2 linked regions of the Drosophila melanogaster genome follow. The gene in region 1 interacts genetically with each later gene. Each region holds a gene or a part of one and is shown on either strand. Other genes may lie near its edges.

Region 1 (5,089 bases):
GATGCTGATGCTGCTGCTGCTGCTGCTGTTGCTGCTGCTGCAACTGGTGAGGTTGCGTGGGCGGGTGGAAGGCTGTGCTCGCACTCAGATCCAGGATAGCATGTGCCGCATGCAGGTCCTCCTCCGCCGGTACCCTTCTTCGATAGCCGTGCGCCGGCTTGTCGTCCAAGGAATACGGCCTGTAGATGTCCTTCTTCTTCGGCGGCAGCGACAGTGTGGCTCCCGTACTGCTGAAGCACTTCCTTTCACTGGAGGTCTGTCCACTCGAGAGCGGACTGTACCGATCGCCGGCGCCGCTGGGCGAACAAGAGGGTGATGACGTGGTGGACGAGGGCGGCGTTTGGTAGGCGGCCAGGTGCTGATCTCCACTTCCGTTTCCGGATGTCCTGGCTGCCACCAGAGCTGTAGCCGCGGCACGGATCACGGTTATCTCGCTCTCCATGCGGGGCAGGTACGCGGTGTAGTGCAGCGGCGAAAGTTCGCGGGTGTAGCCTGTAAAAAGCAGAAAAAATTAAATCATGGGTTAAGTTTTATTCAGCAGCATTTATCATGGTTCCTGAAGTATGCTACACTTTTTTCTTTTGAAATAAGAGTTTCAGTCATTGTAATGTTTTTGTGCCGGAAAATATACTTAATGTAGTCGGATGTAGAGTATATGATTCGCTTAAACTTCCTAGACATGCACTTATAATTTCTTTGTGATTATAATTTTTCCGTTTCCTTTTCTTTATAAGCTGCCAAAACATTTACCCTCTGCCATTCTTAAGATATTTTCTTTAACAAACTTTAAACAATAGCTTTCATTTAAATATGAAGGACTGACACATGCGTATAATTTCTTTTAACCAAGGGCAAACTTTAAAAGGTCAACATAAATATCAAAGACCACGCCTGGAGTTGTGCTAAGATAACTATTTTGTATGTGCTGGAAAATATTATGTTTGCTCAAAGGATTTTCTCCGCAAAATAAGAACTTTGGCGAAGTAGAAAAGTACACAGAAGAGCAACAGCTCACAGCTAAAAAATGGGTTAGTGCAATTACTTTAAATCTGTTTCGTAGTAAGTTATTTTTAGCTTTTAAAGCCTAAACCTATAGAAAGGATGTCTATTGTGAGTGGTTTTTAGGTCTGCCTTGCTTCTAATTTCCACTGAATAATTAATTTCGCAATTGTACGTGGAAAACAGTGACAGGCACACATTCAACAAAAAGGACGAAGGCAAACGGTTTAATTTTGGCCTGTACCATTGTTTTCACGCCAAAGGGAATGGAAACCGAGCTGGAAGTTGGCAGTAGGAAGTCGGCGAGGGTCTGTGCGTTCTGCGTTTTGTGGCCCGCTGGCCGGAATTGCAAACAATATTGAGTGACAACAAAGGCAATTAAATTGATTCGGAATTGTTTCGCAATCGCACAATGGCCACATCAATGACAGCGATTACGTGCGCCCCATCTCGATTTCCACCACCCCCGCCTCACTGGCTGGAGCAGTGTTTTCCGATTTCCCGACTTTCCCGAGGGCTAACTTACCGTTGTAAACATTGCCGGCCACTCGCGTCGCCGCCTCCGGCGAATGGGGAGGCGGACTTGGAGCCGTGGTGCCCGCCGTGGGTGAACTGGGTCCCCAGCACTTGGACGTCGTCGTCGTCGCCGATGCCTCCATGTTGCTGCTGTTGCTGCTGTGCGATGTTGCTGCTTCGGATGATGTTGCTGCTGCTGCGGCAGCATCTGCTGTTGTGCGTTGCTTCTCCAATTTGATCAGGAATTTGTCGCCCACCACATCGATCTCCTCGTCGTCGTCCAGGGTGGAGCGTCTGGACTTGAGATGCAGCTCCTCCAGTTCGCGAGGCGAGTTGGGGGCACTCTGCTCCTGCTGCTGTTGCTGGTTGCTAGTATCCTCCGTCCGATCCAGCCAGGGATAGGCCTTCCACTTCTTGGCTATCAGGCAGCGCGGCATTTTCTGTGTTTTTTTTTTTCTTTGTAGATTAGAGGTTTTGGAGTTGGAGTTGGAGTTTTGGCTAGGAGCTTGATCAGGATCCAGTTAGTAGATCTTAGAGGGCTAAGTGCTGAAGCTAGTGTCGAGTTTCGAGCGAGCAAAGACCGTCTCAGGGGGTATTATTTGTGGCAAAAGCGGAAAGGAAACGTTGCTGTTGTTATCTCGCATGGGAAAATATATATATTAATATATATATATATATATATATATATTGTATATAGAGTTTGGCTCGCCGAAAGATCTCTTAAAGTTTTAGTCGTACAGCTTGTTGAATTTCAGGCCTGGCATTTCTGCCGTGTCTCGTGTGTCTGTCTGTGTGTGTGGAGTGGAGTGGTGTGGTCTGGTGCGTTTCGGTTAAATATTCTTAGTAATTTGCATTTTATTGTAAATTGGTTTGGTTTTTAGTTAGGATTCCTCGGGTTTCACAGCCACTTCACACATTTCGGCGCTTGATTCGTTGTCAGACCCGTATCCGTCATTTGGGCTGGAGTTTCGAGTCGCTCTCTCTGCTCTGTTCTGCTCTGCTTTACTTTGCTTTGCTTTGCTTTTCTTGTATTTTTTTTTTTCTTTTTGGGCCGGAGTTTTTGCGTTTTTGGCCAGGGCCACCGATTTTTGGTCAGTTCCCCCCGTTCAATCCCCTCGCTCCACGAAACACACACGGACACGTTCGCGTTCAGTTGGCTGGCTGCGTGTGGCTTATCGATTTTTACATTTACATTTGCGTTTACGTTCACGTTTGTTTTCAACACGGAATTGAACTCAAAACATAACGGGGGGACGATTTTTGAACGAATCTTTGGGGTATCCTTTCAACTCTTTTTGGGCTGGCAATTTTCTCCTCGGGTTTTTGGAAAACAAAACTTTGTCAATGGCCGTCGAGACGAAAATAAATGTTTTGGTTTGCAGTTTCAGTTTAAAAACGGAAAGTTGACAGATTGGTAGTGGTAGAGTTGTAGTTTGTTGTTTTTGAGAAAGTTAAGGTTGACGCGAGTTGAGAATAGTTGAGTTGTTATTATTGTTGTTGTTGTTGGTAGTGAAAAAATTGATTTAGGAGAAAATATAATATTATATAAGATAGAGAAGAAATGCGAACGAACCGAACGTAAGCAACTCTTGAATGCTTATGAGAGTCTTGCGGCCCGAGAGCCCGCTTATAAGGGTGGTCCACCCCCAGCATAACGACAGCCAGCCGAACCGCGTCGCCTTGCAGCCGAAACGAGCCGAAGGGAAGAGCGAGAGCACTGGAGCGCCAGAGAGCGGAACGCTGAGAGCGGCACAGCCCCTAAGTTCCAACCCCCAGAAAGGAAGCGCATAGCTGTTGCTATTGCTGTTGCTCGTCCTGTGGGCTGGTACACACGATGGAATATGCTCAAGAAACCTAAATCACTGAAATAACATAAGGTAATAGCGGCCAAAAGAATAAAACATAACTTAGTGCTGGCCTTCATGCCTAAAATACCAGTGAAACCCTTAAAAACAAAGAGTTTTCTAACATATCTTCTAAGAAATCGCATCGTGTGCCAGCGCCCTAGAGCAAAGGCAACAATCAGGAAGTGTTTCATTGCCAAAACATTCCCCGCTGTTGCTTTCTCCCGATTTCAAAATTGTTGCGCCTCTCTCTTTCCATTTCCCCACCTTCTCCCACTCGGTCTCTTTCTTTCGACGTGGAGGCACCGGACCCCCAGCCATACCTGAGAATTGGCTCATGGCTCTTTGGCCCTTTTGGAACTTTTTCGGCTTGGGGCTCGCGGCTCTTGCCTCTTGGCTCTTGGCCGCCTGAGGCTCCCATTCACGATACACGGGGTGGATTTTGCGCCCAGAATGTGGCAGTTGTGCCGAGTTAATTGCTGTTGCATTGCATTTGTTGCTGGCTCTGATTTTGAACAAATTGCCAGCGACGGGATGGCCAAAGGGGGGTGTACGCTACTTTCCCGTAAACATATATACTATGCTGGTTGGGGTAACGGGTTGAGGGGATGCAACAGTCGCTGGTCCTTGGCCCTAACTCAGTTAGTACAAGATAAACAGCACAAACTAACTTCTGTCGCCCTCGTCTCTCTGCACTGACGGCTCTCCACTGGCCATGAATAAGTGGTTTACTTTTCAGATCACAGAGGTCGGATATGAGTGCGGCAACTCAAATCGTTGGATGATTAATTGCAGCTCCTGCCGAGTTGGGTTTGATTGACAGCTGGATGTGTCATATGCCACACTCCCAGTATGAAATGAACACGATTTTGGGATGGATTTCCAGGGTTTTTTGATGCCCGCAAAGGGGTCCAGCTATGTGAAGTCTATAGCAATATTTATATTTGTAAAAACATTTGTTTGGCTATTAATTGAACCTATTAGAACTAGAATCATTATCTAGAGATAACTCGTAACATACTACTTTAAAATGTAGTACTAACCTTACTTCGATTAAAGTAAAAACCTTAGAGAATCCTTGAAATGCTTTCAAACAATGCGTTCAAGATGACCCACCATAAAATCCCTAGAACATCTTGAGAAGCGACTTACTTACATATACAATCTGTTCGCATTCCCAGTCAGTGCAACACACACAAAACTAATTAATTAAAGTGGAGCTTCGGTTAGCTGAACGGGGAGCTCGGGCTTTGCATAATCAGACACTTAAATTACAAAGTTCTTAACCTTTTAATTAGCCAGCGACAACAGACAATTTGTCTGCCTCAGACGAGCTTAGCGTCGCTTCTGCAGCGGCTGCAGTCCTTAAAAATTATATATACTTTTCATTGGAATTTTCATTCGGTTTACTATGGTATCCCCCGGGGTCCTTCGTTGAACCCACTTCCTGTGCCCCACTCGAAACAGATGCAACCTTTTTTCTATGGTTTCCCTGTTTAAACTATTTCGAATTTTTTGAGGAAAACCAAGAAGTGCCCACCGCTCCAAATATCTGTCCATCCATCTCGCGGAGTGACAGGCCATAAGGACCTCTTCGGGCATTCCTTGAAAATGAACGGCGGTATGTAAATATTAATGCCAAAGTAACGTATAGACCATCTGTGGAATTCGACTGCACTAATTATAAAAAAAAATTGGGCTCGCCCTACGCCCGGCACCTAAGTAGAAGC
Region 2 (5,958 bases), on another chromosome or scaffold:
TTGAGACGATTCTGATTATAGAGCTCGTCCAGCAGATCGAACAACTCGATTTCGAGGGCTCGGAGTGGGGCTTCCAGTTCCGGGGTGTGGGTACCAGCGAACAAGGCCTGCATGTAGATGGTGGAGATCTTCTCCAGAGCGCCATCCAAGGTGTTCAGAATGGTGTCCTCGGGATCGTGTAGGAGCTTCACAGGACCCGTGAGCTTTGGAGAAGCACGGTAATGGTGCAGACCATCTTCAGAACTAGATGCCAAACTAATAGCTGGCAGGATCGCCACAGTTAGTAACACTTGAAACAGATTTCCTGGCATGGTAAAATTAAAATTTTTCAATTAAATTGTTTTTATAATTTCTGAGATTTTTCAATGCACGCCTGAAAGTCACTGCGCGCTCTTGATTGCAATAATTTAGTTTTTGACACACTAAATGTGTTCCGCCTATTGCTTATATAGCATGGATTGGGAGCTTTCGATTGAGTTATCTTTTCAATCAAACTTTGCGAAAACATCGAACATACATGATAAGGCTGTTTCCGTATTGATTTGAATTCAGCTTCCGACTTTTCAATGAGTTCAAGTACTATTGATTGTTGATGCGATCTTGAATTTTCCAATTCTAATCAGTTAAGAACCAAGGAACCATTAAATTTGGATGGATTTTTCTTTTGCAGCATTTTTTTTTTATTATCATTATTTTCACTCCATCGAATTTTGCATTACCTAAAAGTTAAAATTACAATCGTTAAATTAAAACACTAATATAGAAACGTGAATGACCTAATGATAAACGCTATACAATGAAAACTACATAACTTAAATAGAAACACGTTTAATTGTTTAAATACTTGAGCAGTTAATGAAACATTAAAGAACATAATTATTTAATGAACTACATAATAGTCGTATAAAGCGCTTAAACGAGAACTACACAAAAAATATACAAAATCACAGCTGAACTTAAAATGAAGAAAGCGAAACGGGGATACATAAAAACATATAGAAATCGTTGAAACTTAATGGGGTTCTAAAGCATTGAAGTGATCTTTGAAAAAATTGCAATGAAATAAATTAACAATGTATAAACGTAACATAGAAGTGGCCTGTGCGGTTGATCTACCACGGCCTCCAAGCGGAGCTCGACTTTTCGATGGCGCCAGCTAGGAATTTCTTGGACGAGGGCTCGTCCAGGGAGCAGTCGCTGGACTCGGCCTCCGCCTCCCTGTCGCGCTTGGCGATTCCGCTGGTGGAGCTCACTTGCTGTTGCTGCAAGTGGGCCAGCGGTCGCGAGCATCCGCTGCTGTCGTGGCTTCCGGCACTCAAGTTGAGGGATCCGCTGGTGTTGAAGGAGGTCTCCGCGCTGGTTGGTGGCGGAGTTGAGAAGACGCCGGCGAAACTGTGCTTGCTCATCACATCCACGGTGGGCGAGGCAGCCCGGGACTCCTCGCAGTGGCTGGAGATGGAGGAGATTGGGCTCAGCGGTGGGCTTGTGCTGTTCTTCACCGGCAGCTGCGTTTGGCCGGGCAGTGTGTGGATGAGGTTTTCCGGAAGATTGGCCGGAACTGAGGTATTGACCGGTTTGCTGAACGCGCTCATCCTGAAGCTCTGTGTATAGTCATTTAGATGTGTGGGATTGGCAATGCTGGCCAAGGCGGCACTGGCTGTTCCAGCTGCGACTCCCGCTGCAGATCCTGGCCAGGCAAAGGGTCCCGGAGGCGGAGCAGCGGAACCTGTGTTCGGCATGATGAGGGCAAACTCTCCCGAGGGCAGGCGGGAGGGAATTAGCTGAAGTCCACCCATTTGGATGGCCGGAGCCGATGACTCCGTGCGGCTGTTGTTGTTCAAGTCCTGCGGCAACGAGGGAAACAGCGGAGTGGGAGCAGCCGTGACAGCTGTGGCGGGAAACAAGCCACCACGGTATCCATTGCTGAAGTTGCTCATCGAACCGATCTGCTCCAGACTATTGGCACACTGGTTAAGATGGGCGCTGAGCCGCTGACGAACACCGGTATCGATGCCATCCATTTGGCTTACATAGCGGTTCACCTCCTCCGCGCACTCAACGAATCCCGTCTTGAACTTCTGGACAACGCTGGGATCCGATTGGATGGCCATGTTGAGCTGCTGGCGCTGCACCGACTGCAGATGCTTCACCGTCATCTCAAGTATGTCGGCCTTCTCCAGTTTGGTATGACGAGCCGGCTAAAAGTATAGAAGACGAAGGAACCAAAGTCAGATAATGATGAAATGGGGATGGGGTGGGAGATGGTCGGGCTAATTGTTTGGGGCCCTACAACAAGTTCAATAGCTTGGGAAAAAGCGAAGTTAAGAAGCACGTTTCGTGCCTCATATGTCCAACTATTCGCGTGTAATCTGCAGTCCACTTCAGTCGAGTCCACTCTGTAAATATCACACGACCAAGGTGAGATTCAGCAACTCCAGCGAGAAGAACGACTGATCTTGCTACTGTGCACTGAGCAAAAAGGGGGCTTAAAGTCAAATTTTCTGGCAAGTGAATACTAATGATGGAAAAGTGACTGTCTTTAGTAAGTGGTTCTAAAATAAACTACTCGCCGATCTTATCGTTTGTGATCTCATATGAAGACTTTTTGGGCACAGAAGATTCCAAATCGTTCTTCCTGATCTTCTTTTTTCGCGCAGTGCGATCTTCGCCAGTCTTCGGTCCCCGATTGTTCGTCCCTTTCTCGCCGCTGGGACTGCATATTTTAGCAAAAGGTTCCCACGCAGGTCGCTCGCCAGCCCCGCCCCCTCAACCTCCCCCGCTCCCCTGTCTGAACCTTTTGTTTACTTTTGCTTTTTTCCCTCAATGTCTTTCTTATTTGATTTTTGGTCCGGCTCTCCTGCAGAATTCTGCGGCGGCAAATTTTACTTGATTTCTGCTTTGTAGTTTCTCACAGCAGGATCACTCCTTGGAAACTGGTTTCGTTCGCATCTCCGGCGATTTCTGCGTAATTCCTCGACTTGTTAACACTTTTTGGTCTCTTGACTGACTCCTCGTCGGCGCTCTAGTGTAATGATCATCAATAAAATTTAATACTCAATTAGAGCCCTTGGTTTGTGTTTTTTTTTTCAGTTCTTGTGTCGTAGGAGTTCGTTTTTTATACATTTTTTTGTTCTTTTGTAGTTCTGCCGCCCTTCGGACACTTGTGCCTTAAAGGTTTTTTTTTGTGGACTAACATTATTTATAAGAAAGTGAACCAAAAGGGATCGGGGGCTAGTTTCTAATTCGCGGGCGGACCGCTCCTTTTCTGCTTTGACGCTCGGGCAAGATACTTACGTCTTTTTTCATCGCCTCCAGGATAAGGGACTTCAGTTCGTTGAGGCAGTGATTAATGCGAGCTCGGCGACGTTTCTCCATAATCGGTTTGTTGGTCTAGAAAAGAAAGGGAATCAATTAGTTTATTTCGTAGGAATTTATTTCAGTTTAAGGGATATCTTTGTTTATATAAAACAAGGGTTTCACTTGATTTTTAAAATTAATTTAATGCTTTACATTTTCTAAGCCATTAAAATGAAAAGGTTCAAAACGATCGAGGGTGCTAATAAACTCTGCTATTTTTTAGTTTGCGAGTCCAATTTCATCGCAAAAGAGCGAACTCACCTTTCTAAGTTCTGCTTTTGACAATCCATTGGGATTGGACATGCGTCCATTGGAGCCATAGCTGTCGCTATAGCCGTTGGAGCAGTCGAAATCGTCGTCGGAATTAATATCGTTTTTGTAATCCATTTTGTAACGATTTTAATTTGTATATCCAAGTGGGAGATAATCCAAGATAGTTCGATTTCGATTTGGTCTTTTTCACAACACAATAACTTTGGTTCGAGTACGAAAATAGTTATAACAATTATTGCACGTACTTCTTAGTAATGTCCGAACAACAAAAACTTAACAAGCGGTACGCGTTAAAGATCGTTCTGGTTATCGAATCGTATAGAATAGTATTTTAAATGTTCATTCAAAGGAGAGCGGCAGACGACCGCGCTCGCGAGATGCCAAAAGGATACTGATCCTCCGAGTCCACGGGCACCAGCTAAAAACGAATCGGGTCGAAGCCGAAACGAGTCCACGAGTGAAACCGAGGGACTCTCTTACCTGGCGACGCGGGCAGCGGCAGAGGCAGAGCTGAGGCAGGTAGGCAGCCCAACGATCGCCGTCCGCAGACTGAGAACTTTTCACCGCAGCAGCGCAGTTGCGCTCAATCGGAGAGTGAGTGAGTGCATAACCACCCCAAATCCAATGAGTTCACACTCGGAGTGAGATTTAAGTGAGTATTTGAGTAGGTATTCCCAGGCAGGCAGAGTTGCCGAGTCAACGAATTGCGGATTCCAGGGGATTAGTGAAAATAGGAGCTTAACTCAAGTAAACGAGACTAAGTCGAGCCTGATCGAGAAACAACACAACATTCGGTTAAGCCAAGTCATTAGCCTTTGGCTTGACGAAACCCACAAAATTTAGTTGATTTTATTGTAAAATACAGCAAGCATTGTATATTAAATAATTTTGAAGGAAATTAAGCATTAAAATCAATAACATATCATTAATGAATTTAAAGTTTATTACAATTTAACAAAAATTTATAACTGAATTTAATCTTCTAATTCGTGTCGAAGCCGACTTAATACCCAATCTATTTGTTTTAGAATATTCATATATTTAGCAATAATTATACAAAGCTACTATAAATCTTATGAATATTATTACTTTACTTTTTTTTACTTTTTACTTGCTTATTACTTTTAATGAATTGATTAAAGCAATAGTTAACAAAAATATGAACTATATTCAGAGAATTAACAGCGATTCTTCTTTAGTACTTGAAATTTGCTAAAGCAAAGCAAAAAATCTTTAGTTCCTTAAAAAATGTATCAAGTGAGATTTTCTATAAGTTATCAGTGAGTAGCATTATTTGCGACAGATGTTCCGTTTGTGTCCGTTTCCCTTTTGGGTGGCTGGCTGATGGCACATTTAGTCGCACAGATTTCACCCTTGGCAAGGACAAACTTGATCAATGCCCGGCGAATGATTTGCAATTCATTAAGGAGAACTCCTTGGCAATTGTTCGGCGCAGCTGCCGCAACCCCCGTGACAACCCAACCCCCTTGCAAGGCGAAATCCTTAGTTTCAAATTCTTCGCTTTTGCCTGGTCGGCTCATCGGCAGAAGCGTCTTAGGGGGTTGCTTGGGTTTCGGGACGGAATCGCGACTTGCAATGGATCGGAATCGGACCTGGATCGGTCGTGGGTCTGGGACTGAGGGTCGGGGTCAATCATTACGGAGCTTACCTGGCTGGGCCAATTTTTATAGTCGATCCCCGGCAGATTTTCCTTTTTCAGGCAAATTTATTACTTTACGATGTTGGCAGGATTACGACCAAAGGAGTTGTCAATAACCACTGACGCGGGCCATGCGCCAGCTGACAGCTGACGTAGATCTACCTATGGACCGATTTGGGGAGTTTTGGGTGGGATCGTAAACGTATTGCGCCGCCTGGCAACCCTGGTTGTGCAAAGTGATCCCTCGCGGCCTGAGCGTAAATCCCGTGTTGAGCAATAATCTGTGGCGATCATCCATCATGCACAAGCTCTGCAGCACTGATCCGATGTCAACTTTCGTAAATTGAATAAATGCCACGGCTACGATTGACCAACTAAAACATCCACAGCAACTAAACCATGGGGTTCGGCTGAATTCTGCACTGATGAGCACATCACCCTGCTTAATGGCGATCACTTTGGCTCCTTTGAACGCCGCAAATTTGGCAAACATTTTCCCACGAAACCCGAAATAAGCACGATGAGCTGGCAAAATGTAAAAGTGCCATGGGCCAGGGAGAAGAAACCTCAGAACCATCCGACATATGTGGATCAATCGTCTGGCGAAACGTGCAGAGTCTGCAGAGCTTCTTCAGAAACTGAGAATTGAAATTCTATAACGAAGAAAC

What was found.
Region 2: of scrt (region 1) and dpn, changing one enhances a phenotype caused by changing the other (phenotypic enhancement), as found in Drosophila melanogaster (one study listed by BioGRID).

Annotation. Positions count from the first base shown.
Region 1 is NT_037436.4:3,981,927-3,987,015, reverse strand, and holds the start of scrt (scratch), read right to left. Parts: upstream 3,121-5,089; 5' UTR 1,953-3,120; coding exon 1,526-1,952; intron 493-1,525; coding exon 1-492.
Region 2 is NT_033778.4:8,228,305-8,234,262, forward strand, and holds dpn (deadpan), read right to left. Parts: upstream 4,027-5,958; 5' UTR 3,745-4,026; coding exon 3,619-3,744; intron 3,391-3,618; coding exon 3,295-3,390; intron 3,285-3,294; exon of another isoform or gene 2,800-3,284; intron 2,762-2,799; exon of another isoform or gene 2,199-2,761; coding exon 1,113-2,198; 3' UTR 667-1,112; downstream 1-666. Other genes in the region: CG34217 (uncharacterized protein), read right to left, coding at 1-311. UniProt on the Drosophila melanogaster protein: Transcriptional repressor of genes that require a bHLH protein for their transcription.